Neurospora crassa OR74A: one gene and its partners. The protein of the gene in region 3 interacts with the protein of the main gene of each other region in a pairwise test. Links are inferred from orthologs where the notes say so. Each region holds a gene or a part of one and is shown on either strand. Other genes may lie near its edges.

Region 1 (3,582 bases), on a different chromosome or scaffold from region 3:
TGGAATCGCAAAATCTCAAAGTCGAGTAGAGTTGCGGAGGCGCCATGGGAGTCCCTGTGATACCATCCAGCCCCTGACGCGAATACTTGATGGGTCCAATCTGTTTGCTATTCTCAGTCAACAAAAAAAGTCCATAGGCCGTTGAAGTAGGTACGGTGTCCGTTGCTTTGTTTTACCACTCATCTTCAACCACTGAGACATCACGCCAATGCGCTACTGTCGCCGGTGGTTTTGTCATCGGCTCAATGATGAAACTCTCCATCCTGGAGATGTGAAGAGGTGAAGGAGCTGAAAAGGCAAACGTTAGTTGCAGTTGAAAATGTGAAGAAAAGGTTATGCATCTGCAGGTGATTATGTAGGCATGTACGTAGGTACCTCTCATCCAAACATTAGCTGCGGAGACGCATTTCCCACATAGGTCGCTTATCTGAAAGGAGCTGGCGGGTACCTGCTATCGCTGGTAGTAGGCAGGCAGTAATCTTTTCGGTGTTGTTCCAGATTGTCGTGCCATAATACAACAGCTCTGGGTTGTCGTTGACTTGCGACCACTTGTTACAAAATGTGATGACATGGTGAAGAGCACATTGGATACAGTCAGAAAGACCGCTGCACAGGTCCTAGACTAATTACCAGATGCTCAGCTATGGAAACTCGGAGAGGAAAGACAGTCGAGATGAAAACCTCTGGCACCAAGACCATGATTATTCCATACTCCCATCTACACCAGTGCATATCTATCATTGCTCGTCACCGTTCACGTTCACTCTTGCGCACCCCATTGACTCCCCCCGTTCCAAACTCACTGGTCATTAAGCACCGTCTCTGCAAGCCAAGATCAAAACCGCATTCCTGTCATACCCAGCGTGATATCATACAAATGAAGACATGAAAAACCAAACTCCCTCATAAACCCAAAAGGAGGACTAGAAGCTTGATGGAGCTCCTTCGCCCTTAGCACGCGCATCCATCCCGGTCGTTCTCGATGTGAATGTTGATGGGATCCTGGAAATCTCCGCTGAACTCCTCCGACTCTTCCTGCATGAGCGCGTTTCTGGCGATAACCTCAAAGGCCTGCTCGACGTTGATAGCCTCCTTTGCACTGGTCTCGAAATACGGAATGTTGCCCTTGGATTGACAAAAGGTCATGGCCCTCTTGGTCGAAATCTGCGCCACAAGGTCAGTAAATGATGATCTCCAACATACGACAAGGCCCATCGAACAGAAAACATACCACCCTCTTGCTCTCTTCCATATCGATCTTGTTACCCAGCACGACGAACGGGAAGTTATCCGGGTCTCGCGGAGATGCTTGGATAAGGAACTCGTCTCTCCAGCTGTCGAGCGCATCGAAGCTCTTGGAGTTGTTGACATCGTATACTAGAACACAGCAGTCGGCACCGCGGTAGAAGGCAACGCCCAGCGACTGGAACCTCTCTTGTCCGGCTGTGTCCCACAGCTGCCCGTCGAGAACCTTACGTATTAGCACGTCGTCCAACCAGCTCAAAGTAGGGTATTTGGCGCACGCACCTGCATGGTTACTTGGCGGTCGTCCACCAGAACCTCCCGGGTCAAGAAATCGGCTCCGATAGTGGCCTTGTAGCTAGCACTGAACTTCTTGTTGACCTGTTTTGCGCCAAAAGAGCGGGGGTCAGATGACGTCCTCTTTGTATCATAATGCATGGTGACAACGGGCTCGACGCTGGCATACATATTGGTTCATCAAACTGGTCTTTCCGACACCGCTGTCGCCCAAGATGATAACCTGCCATTGGGAGTCATTGTTAGCTGTTGCTGTCTAGATGGTCCGATTTGGCGGCCGACTCGCACCTTGAGAAGAACCTTCTTCCTCGAAGACATGGCGGGCGGTATGGAATTAGATAAGTTGTTTGATAAGACGTAGAAACGGGACGAGGTGGAGTTGCTCGTGCTGGCGTGCTTCCGGGCAATCGTCAAGAACAACAGTCCACCAGTGATGGTAGTCGAGAAAGATGGGAGTCGTAAGAGTGTGAGGAGGACGGCGGGCGCAACAAATGTTGGGTTTAGTGTAGGTCGTAGCAGGCTGCTAGATTCGGCACTCAGTCTAAACAAGGCCAAGCGGTAGGTAAGGTAGGTTGGTTTTCGATAAGTGGTGACCTAACCGACCGACGTGACCGACCTGGACGTTGGGGCGGCGGGAACTTGTTGAACTGGGGCTGGTCACTGAATGCTGCGCTGTTGGAGGAGCGACGGCTCTGCGACACAACCACCTAGTGACGGAGGTGGTCGCAGCGCTAACACGCCCTCGACGCCTTTGGCGCGCCGTCAGGCAGGCACGCACCACTGGTCCAGTCTCGCCAGTGCATCCCTGGAGCCAATGAAGTCACCCGCCAGCGCCCAAAGTCGGCCTGGTCCGAGCTGAAACACCCGACATGTACGACAGGTGGCCCGCAAAGAGGAACCTGTGGCCCACTGCACCATGCCCAACGCCAAGGATTAAGTGTCGATTGATCATTCATTCATTCTTCATCAGCCATGTCATCCTCCCATTCCTCAGCGGAACAGTCCCAGGGGCAGAAAGGATCGACAGATTGCGACCGACTCACATTTCTTCCATTCAATTCAGTTTTGTCACACCCTTGATGTACTCGTACGCTTCACAGGAATAACTATCTCTACAATTTACAGACATAAAAACCTAACAACATCCTGCCGATCGGGCGACTGTGGAAAGTGACGGACCATCTCGAGATTTCCATCCACCAAGCATGGCCCAATCCCGGTGACAAGAAAAAAGCGCCGGCGTGAAGGACCGCAATATCGGCATCCAGTTCTTCTTGCTCTTACACTACCTAAGAGACTCGTCTACTCCTGTCCATGGATATGATCCTCATGCTTCGGCATAATAACGGCACTGGAAATGGAGGATGATATCAAGGAACGACAACAAGCCGAACTCCAGGACAAAATACACAGCCTGAGCGATCTCGAGCTCGCCGTCCTTCTCTCCCTCATCGCACGGGAACACTGCCTGATCAGCACCGAACCCGACTTTGTCGAGGACCTATCGAAAGAGCTATGTCTGACCGCCGTCAAAACCTTTGGCCTCACGCCCGTCATCGTCCCATGTCACTCGCAGATGACACTCGATGATTTCGCAGCAGCACTCTTAGTCCCCGTCACTCCACCAAGCTCACCACTGCCCAACAACAGCAACAACCCCCAACACCACCACTCCCACCGCTCTGTACCTTCCGGCTCGGGTTCATACTTTTCCTCGAAACAAAATGTTCCCGGCTCATCTTCTTCCGCCCACCCGCCACCACCATCACAGCAGCAACAACAACAACAACCACCGGCAACGCAAATAGCCAACGTCGTCCTCGCCCAAAACCTCGACCATGCCCCGCGCGCCGTGCAAATCCAAGCCCTCGAACTCCTGCGCGCGCGCCGCCTCTTCACTCGAACGAGCGTCCAGACTGCTCCGAAGCAGTTCCTCTTCGTGGCCGTAGTCGGCGCAGAAAGCGGCGGACAGGCGCGAGTCACTCACCACCTGAACGACTTCCTCTACCTTGCGCACTGGCACGACCCGGAAGATGGTTTCGC
Region 2 (4,058 bases), about 220 kb from region 3:
GACCAACAGCCAATACTCTAACTGTAAAAACAGTAACTGTGGCTTTGGACAGACAGACAATCCTCCCCCCCGAGCGATGGCTGCTTTCGGGGCTTGCTTATACCCCTTGCTTGGTTGGTTGGTCGTTGGTCGCTACAGGTCATTGGAAAGATTCATTATATTCAGAACCATGGTTTTCAAGGGGGGGATCAATCAGTCTACCTTTAGTAGCAAAGCATATTTTCGGTTTTATTGGAATCGGCGAATTTGGCGTTTAATAGACACGGGGAGACCCACAATATGAAGTACTTGTTTGTTTTTTTCTTTCTGCCATGTCTTGTCTTGTTTTATAGTAGTAATCCTCAGTACTTTCTGACTCGACAAGTTACTCGTTTCTGTCTTCTGCCAACGTGACTGACCTCTGTAGCTCGAGACCTGACTAGGTATCCTAGCCAAGGATATATCCAAGGTCAATCTTGGACTACTACCCGTTCGTTGATTCCATCTTGCACTCAGTCGACAACACAACAACTCTAAACAACACCTAAAAGACACAGTTGGTTCAAGTCGGTAACTAAATACAAAGTATTATATCTTTTATCATTTGTATTATTATAAGCGTTAAGACCCGACAAAACCAAACCAACCCCTTCCTTCGCATGCTAATGCTCCGATCGCCTTGCTTTAGCCAGCCAGCCAAACCGTAAGCACAAAGCACAGCCAAGTTTCTCATTATAGTTTGCTTCCCCATTTGTCAGGTTGTCTAGCCCACCCACCTCTATTTCCCTCCCCCCACCCCCCATCATCATCATCATCAAGTTCCATCTCATTCTCTCATCATATATTTACCCCATTATATCGTTAACCTCGTTAACATCGTCAACATGATCATCATCCCCATTGCTGTCTTCATCCCCAGCCGTCACGGTTTCCCAACCAGCACGCCCTTTCCCTAGGGAAGAGGAATTCAGCTTGTCCTGCCCTGATCAGACCAGAGCAGACCAGACGAGAGCAGACCAAACCGCACCAGGCCGCCAGACCAGTCAGACCAGTCCAGTCAGTCTTAACAAGCGCACCCTTCCTGCGCCACCGTCTCCTTACTGCTGACATCGATCCTTGTCGCCGCCGCCCCCGTGCCCGCACCACCGGCACCTTCCCCACCGGTGCCCTCCATCCCGGGCAAGGCCTGGGCTATCCTCTTGAACAGCGTCTTGACGTTGTGGCCCAGCTTTGCCGACGTCTCGACAAACATGAGGTTGTTGCGCCGGGCCTCCTCCTCGCCCTGCGCCGTGGTCACTTCGCGCTTGTCGTTCAGATCCGTCTTGTTGCCCACCAAGACAATGATCACGTCGTTGCCGCGCTCGGCGCGCACGTCGTCGATCCATTTTCGTGTGTTTTGGAAGGATTTGGCGTCTGGTGTTGGTTATGAATGTTAGTGTCCTGTTTCTTTGGGGGAGGTTTTGAAATTGGTGGCTTGAGGGGAGGAGGGGGGGGGGGGGGGGAAATAGCGGGGGTGGAAGGCGGTGAGGGGGGGGATTTGGGGAGAGAGAGGATGGTCAAGAAAGGCGGAAGAGAAAAGAAAAGAAATATCATAACATAACATACTCGAAATGTCATAAACTACCACGGCTACTGACGAGTCGCGGATGTACGAAGGGATCAAAGAGCGGAAACGCTCCTGGCCGGCTGTGTCCCAGAGCTGTAGGCGGACTGTTCGGTCTTCGAGGTACATGGTCTTTTTCCCCCCCGTAAAGTTAGCCAAAGGCTCTCATCTTGTTCTACTAGTTCTTGGGTCTTTGCAACTGTCGCGCATTGTCTGTCTGGGAAGGAAGGGCGGTAAAGAATTGAATGGGAGACGGGGGTCGAACATGCCTTGGAAAGGAAATCGATACCAATGGTGGCTTGGTACATGTTATCGAACGAGTCGTACATGAAGCGTGTGATGAGCGACGTCTTGCCGACTGTTTGCGCGCAATCGTTGAGTTAGCATTGGTGTCTCGGAGAACATCGTGGAGAAAGTGTTGTAGGTTGAGGTAATCGCATACCGCTTTGTTCGCCCAAGAAGACCAACCTGGCGAGGAGAAAGAGTGGTTAGCATCTTGTCTTGTTTTGTCTTCCATTTGACTTAAGTGCATTGTCTGCAAAAGTGTCGGGTATGTTGTCTTACTTGAATTTCTTCAAGGGGTTGTTGTATGACCCGCCTGCTTGCGCCATTGTGATGGATGTGTTTGCGGATTAACGGTATTTGGCGGGGTAGGTAGGTAGGTAGGTAGGTAGGTAGCTGAAGGTATTCGGAAACACGATCAAGGGGAGGAAGCTTTCGGACTTTGGAGGAGGTGGTGGTGGTTAAGTGGCAGAAAGCTTAGTAGTGTAGGCGGTCGGAGTTGGTCTAGAGTTAGATAGGTGTCTGCTGGTCGTCGAAGTGGAAGATGGACGGCGGCGGAGAGTTGCCGGAGACTGATCATGCAGCGTTGAGTGGTCTCAGTGGTGCGACGGACGGGGCGTGGTGGCCGGGGGGTGGATGACAAGGGAGCTTGGAGGACAATCGGGTCGGTGTTTGGGATCCAGTCGGGGTCTCGTTGCCGACTTGGTTGCTGGGGTCTTTGCAGTCCGTCGAGTCTTCGTTTACCAAACAAAAATCGGGTCGAGAGATCGTTTTATAAGAGTTGATACCACAGAGAGCAGAAAATACTTGAACATTTAATATTTTGTTTGGATACAGATTAATTGATTGACCGACATTCCGTATGTACGTATGTACAAGTTTACATGTTTTTATCCATTGTTTATGCATAACCTCAAGTTCGAACAACAAAGTGTTTCTTGCGACTATTATTCAGTCTTCTTCCCCGAAGCGGACTCATGCGAGAGAAAGGGGACCGCGCCAAGCGATCAGTGGAGGGAAACAGTGGCCGCCCGCCGCCTTTCTGCGCCCAGACAAATTCGACACTTCACTTGACCAAAACGACCGAGACCGGGCATCCAATGGAAGCTTGGCGGCCGTCATTGGATTTGTCCAGAGGCCGAGGCAGCTTGGAAGTCTGATTGGCTAATTGCTCCAACTGCCAGCTGAGCACGGCTGGGGAAGGGAACTGAAGCGCTGGACGCTTGTGTTCCATGAAGTTGCTCTTCCCTGTCCTGTCTCGGGCAGGTCTTTCTTATCTTATCGCTGCCTCCTGTCGCCGCTGAAATTTTGAGTTGCACACCCCACTGGGCAGTCGGATTGATTGCAGAGGAGACCCCAGAATTCCAGGCGGTTTCGAGGTATCAATATTTCCAATTTCTTATCTGCCTCGAACCTCCGCCGACTCGTTTGATTTCTTCGAGTCGTCAACCCAACAACACAACACACCATCACATCACATATCCAAAATGCCCGTCCTAAAACCCTTGTCGGGCAATCCCGAAGCCCCCAAGCAATACAACCAACCGTCGAGAAAGGGCAAGAAGGCGTGGAGGAAGAATGTCGACGTGACAGAGGTCGAGCAGGGTCTCGATGAGTTGAACGCCCAGATTATCAAGGGGTACGGCGCTCCTTCTGTGATGCTTTGTATTACCAAAGACACCAATTGGTTAACATGAATTATCGTATAACAGTGGTGTCATTGCCGAGAAGACCTCCGAAGAACTCTTCGCCATCGACGTCAAGCCCGACACCGAAATCACCAAGAAGCTCCCCAAGCAACTCAAGAAGCCCTTGAAGGCCGACGAGATCCTCGCCCAGCGCTCCGCCGTTCCCGCCGTCTCCCTCAAGAAGCGCCCGGCTTCTGAAACCTCCGGCAAGGTCACCGACGGCGTCCTGCCCTCCAAGCGCCTGCGGGCCACCTACGTCACCCAAAAGGAGCTCAGTCGCCTGAAGCGCGTTGCCGACGGCCACCACACCACCACGGTTGAGGTCGTTGACGCCACCTTTGACGCCTGGGCCGACCCAGAGGAAGAGCAGAAAAAGAAGCAGCAGGCCGCGGAAACGTTCAACTTTTTGCCCAAGGTCGAGAAGCCCAAGGCGCCCAAGACGCTCACACAACAACCCATCTCCCTCGCCGCCACCGGCAAGCAGCTCCCCGCCGTTCCCAAGCCCA
Region 3 (4,294 bases):
CATGTCGAGGCGTTCTTGGGCAAAATGGGAGAGAAAAAAAAGGATGTCAACAACAACTACATAAATCTCACTGTTGCTACGTCGTATATTCACCTATCGCCGACCCATACTTAATGAAGAGTTACTGTGGCAACGCTTCGTTCGAGACATGCTTATAATGGTCGTACATTGGAGAGTGATACGAGCTACGGTCATTCAAACACCATCACCACTACCACCACCGTGATGAGGAAATTCCCAACTCAGGGGCTCTGAAAGCATCATCTCCACATCTAATATCTCTACGGTGTTAACTTTCACTGTGCTAACACCAGGGGAACCACTTCCTTTTGATTACTTTGTCGTGTTTATGAGATTAATGTGATTTATTACCCATCTCCTCTACTCGTCCCCGTCGCTTTGGAAACTGGGTGAGTTGAAGGGGGAAGTGGCTGACTGGCTGACTGGCTGACTGCCCGTAAAACCTCGCTAAACAAAGCAGCAGCAGCAGCAGCAACAGCAGCCTGTATGTACTAATGTGATATGTAGTACAGTTTATGCTTTCAAACGGAGAAACCATCAATTAAATGTTGTTAATGTTATGCCTTAATCCATATCCATATATCCCTTTATGTCACTGTCGTCCATTGTTTACTCCTGCGACATCTGGATACCCTCCCTCAAACCTTCAACAACAAGCTCCTCGCCCGCGCACCGGCGGTAGATGTCCTTGACATCCTCTGTCGAGGTCTCAAAGTGGCTGGTAGCGTCGTAGCTCTTGGAGATGAAGATGTTGTCGTTGCGACCATCCTCGAGGGGCTCATAGAGGGGAATGGGGGGACCCTGTTTGTTGTGGGAAAAATTGGGTTAGTTATCTTTCTAGAAGCTAGGTAGGCAAGAATGACGGGGGAGAACAAAAAAAAACATACCATGAACTGCTCCTCGATCTTGCCGAGGCGCTCGATACCAGGGGCGAGCTCGAGGTGGTGGTTCGCAGAGGTCTCGGCAATGGTCGAGACAATGGCGATCCAGTAGCCCTTGGGGCAGACGTTGTGCGCCGAGGAGACGCAAGCAATGTAGATATCTGGACAACCCTTTATTAGTGAATCTGTTTGGATTATCATGTTGTGACGCAAAACAAACTTACCGTTCTTGCGGCCCACCTGCGACTGGGGAATGATCAACTGGCACGAATCGGCATCGTTGGTGCTAGCAAGGGGGTGCTTGAGAATGCAGATGGCGCGGAGGACGTGGCCGACAACCTTGACCTTGTCGGGGAAGTAGCTGGGGTCACCGAGGATCATCTTGGCGCGGGTCTCGAACTTCATCTCGGGCTCAACGCCGGTCATGGTGGCCTTGATGCCGACGGCCTTGCCGTTCTCGTAGACGAGCTCGTCAACGTTGGTGTTGAGCATGTAGGTACCGCCGTAGATGGCAGAGAGACGGGCGAAACCCTGGGGAAGCTCGCCGAGGCCGTAGAGAGGGTAGATGTATGGCGACTTGCCGTAGCGGGCAACGGACTGGCCGTAAAGGCGGATGCGCTCGATGGTCTCAGGGGCGGCGCCAGGGGTATCGAGGTAGTTGTCGTTGAGGTAGAGGGCCATGGCGTGGCCGACAAAGTCCTTGGTGCCGGCCTCGAGGCTGAACTTCTCAAAGACGTCCTTCATGGTGCAGGTGGCCATGTCAAGACCTGCAAGCGCCCCTACTGGTTAGCGCTCATGAACAATACAATATGACAGCAAGTGTATTTGTGGGCCGAACTTACCCTTGTGTGTGGCGGGGTCCTTGGGGTCGAACTCGCCAACCCACTCGATGAAGCTCTTCATGCGGCGCTTCTCGAAGATGCCCATGAGGGGCGAGCGCAACGCCTCGGCGGCATCTGAGGGGACCTTGGCGATGGTGGCCTTGGAACCAGCACCCTGCTGTACGTAGCTGCCGGCAACCTGCTTGAACTCGAGGTAACGGGTAACATCGGTGGAGACAAGAATGTTGGTGAGCTCGCCCGAGGACATGAGGAACTTGGGAACAAGGTCGATGTTCCAGTCGTTGGGGCGACCGTATTCCTTCCAAGGCTCGGTACCGGCGGCAAAGTTGCCATATTTCTTGAAGAGCGTCTCGAGGTTAACCGACGCCGCCTCACTGCGCAAGGAGTCATGTTAGCTTCCGTTGTGTCCTCATCATGGTTCGATAGGGGGGTGAAGGGGGGGGTTGAAGGGGGGGAGAGGGAAGTACGAACCCGCCGTAGTGGTCGTTGCGGTCGATGTGGAGGACCTTCTTTCCCTTGACACTGAGAACACCCGAGAGAATACACTCGGTCAAGCCAGTGCCCAGCACAATGACATCGTACTCCTTGGCGATCTCGTCGGCCATGGTTGTGGTGTTGATAGTATTAGTTGTGGTTGGTTGTTGTGGTGAGTCGGCGGTCTTGCGGTCTGCAAGCTATAAGCAACAAGCTACAGGTAGTAGGAAGCTTGTTGTTTGGATTAGAGGGGGGTGGTGGGGGTGGTGGTGGTGAGAGTAGGTAGGAGGCAGGTAGGTAGTAGGTGGTATATAGCAAGCAGGCTAAACACACGACGACGGAGAATGGAAGAAGCAGAACAAGAAGAATGGGACGGGGAAGAAGGAACGAAGTTGAAGGCGGATCACTTGATACTAAATGGGGGTAAGTAGGTAGCCCGCCAGAGAGAGATGATGGACGACCAGGGACAGAGACCAGCAGTTGAGTGGACTGGCTGGTGGACTTCCACTTTGTCGTGGACTGGACTGGACTGGACAACTGACAGGAGGCGGCGTCCCGTCGGTCTGTCACGTTAGTGTGTCCATACCTGGTTACTACCTACCTAGGGGACAAGGGACGACGACGGACGGGGCGTTGACGGACGGACTGGGGCCGCACTGCCGCCGCTGGGCTGCTGCCACTGCCTGCACACACGCTGCATTGCTGGCACCGCCTGCGACTGACAGCAGCTTCCACCTGTTGCAAGTACGGTGTGCAGGTGCAGGAAGCTGTCAGCCATGGGTCCAGGTCAGGTCTCCGTCACGGCACTCCATATGATCCATTCAGTTTGCTCTGATCATGTCCATCGTCGCCAGGCTGTCAGTCTTCAACCACCATTCAAAACCATTGAGAGACAAACAGACACCTCTTTGATGAAAGTAGGGGGCATGTCCAATGCATGGTCGTGTCTCCTCGGGGCTCCGGTTTGGGTGGGCGGTCTCGTAGGCGGTCTCCCCTACCTAGGTAGCCCAGCCCATGGAGGCCAGGCTTCTTGCTGCCGGCCAGCCAGTTGTGGTACCTCTAGCAGATGGCCGGCCTCTGGTTCGTCACCGTCGTGGTAGGAAGTGGGGGAGTCGTACAATGAGGGGCGCGAACGGGACCCCGCTTTGAGCTTCTTTGAGCTAGACCGGAGCCAAGAAAGTAATGTCCCCCTAATGTCCCCCTTGGTGGGACTCGGGCTCGCTAATGATTTGATGTTCAAAGACATGAAGACCGTTCACTGATCTGATGAACAGAACCCTGGCTTGCTTCATCTGGTCCCCGCAACGATGATTGATATGTATATATAGAGATCCATATATATATCATTCTGATATATGTACACTACCACTCGCCATTTTGTATCTAAAAATTGGACTTGGAAACGAGCTTTGTCTCGTCTATCCCGCCATGCCCCTTCCTCCTGACCTCTCCATGGTCTCGCCTGTCCAGGTTGGCGCCGATGATGATCTCCCCAGCTACCGTGGAAATCTAGACATGTCCTAAGCGAGATGTTGGTATACAGAGATTCACGCACCCCAGATCTCGGTTGTTCGGCCCATCACTATTCACCAGGGACCGCCTAATCCATATGGGACACCCATTCCCATGAACCCCATGGGGCTTTTTGTTTTTGCTTCGTTGGCTTCTTCATGAAAATCTCCCAGGCCCATGTCCTTCCCTCTTTAGAAACAGGGCCTGTCCGGGTTGAATTTGGCTGTTGTACAGTGAACACATATGATGCTCGTTACACTATCGATACAGGTTGCAAAAATGTGTGGTGGTTTGTTTTGGGAAAACGGGTATCGTGACTGTTTTCCCCCCCTCGTCCTCTTACCGCAAGGGTACCTTCACGACCGTTCGCCCGTCTGGTTCATTTGGGACCGCTTCCCTCTCTTCATACCCTGGGGGCTTCGGCTTGGGACTTGGATGATGGTATCGTTGTTGGGTCGATTTCTGTGGTGGTGGATTGCGTCTCGCTGGCCTCGGCGCCCTCCGCCGTCTCTTCCGCCTCGAGGAATGTGCTAGGCGTGTAGGGGTTCTCGGGGTTGGACAGGT

What was found.
Region 1: the proteins of NCU05288 (region 3) and NCU03711 interact in binary tests that used the Saccharomyces cerevisiae proteins (3 or more experiments, as listed by UniProt). The link is inferred for Neurospora crassa OR74A from reciprocal best matches to the Saccharomyces cerevisiae genes GDI1 and YPT7.
Region 2: the proteins of NCU05288 (region 3) and NCU05234 interact in binary tests that used the Saccharomyces cerevisiae proteins (3 or more experiments, as listed by UniProt). The link is inferred for Neurospora crassa OR74A from reciprocal best matches to the Saccharomyces cerevisiae genes GDI1 and YPT6.

The regions. Positions count from the first base shown.
Region 1 is NC_026505.1:2,172,455-2,176,036, forward strand, and holds NCU03711 (GTP-binding protein ypt7), read right to left. Parts: upstream 2,299-3,582; 5' UTR 1,858-2,298; coding exon 1,828-1,857; intron 1,763-1,827; coding exon 1,709-1,762; intron 1,624-1,708; coding exon 1,528-1,623; intron 1,457-1,527; coding exon 1,232-1,456; intron 1,165-1,231; coding exon 952-1,164; 3' UTR 531-951; downstream 1-530. Other genes in the region: NCU03712 (hypothetical protein), read left to right, coding at 2,897-3,582. UniProt on the Saccharomyces cerevisiae protein: Ypt/Rab-type GTPases are key regulators of membrane trafficking and intracellular vesicular transport.
Region 2 is NC_026504.1:5,666,688-5,670,745, forward strand, and holds NCU05234 (GTP-binding protein ryh1), read right to left. Parts: upstream 2,713-4,058; 5' UTR 2,194-2,712; coding exon 2,147-2,193; intron 2,051-2,146; coding exon 2,025-2,050; intron 1,941-2,024; coding exon 1,852-1,940; intron 1,715-1,851; coding exon 1,585-1,714; intron 1,393-1,584; coding exon 1,043-1,392; 3' UTR 523-1,042; downstream 1-522. Other genes in the region: NCU05233 (60S ribosome subunit biogenesis protein NOP53), read left to right, coding at 3,352-3,503, 3,577-4,058. UniProt on the Saccharomyces cerevisiae protein: Protein transport. Might participate in post-Golgi transport.
Region 3 is NC_026504.1:5,449,810-5,454,103, forward strand, and holds NCU05288 (rab GDP-dissociation inhibitor), read right to left. Parts: upstream 2,801-4,294; 5' UTR 2,350-2,800; coding exon 2,216-2,349; intron 2,119-2,215; coding exon 1,745-2,118; intron 1,670-1,744; coding exon 1,127-1,669; intron 1,064-1,126; coding exon 909-1,063; intron 823-908; coding exon 631-822; 3' UTR 314-630; downstream 1-313. Other genes in the region: NCU05287 (50S ribosomal protein L4), read right to left, coding at 4,134-4,294. UniProt on the Saccharomyces cerevisiae protein: Regulates the GDP/GTP exchange reaction of SEC4 by inhibiting the dissociation of GDP from it, and the subsequent binding of GTP to SEC4. Plays an essential role in the yeast secretory pathway.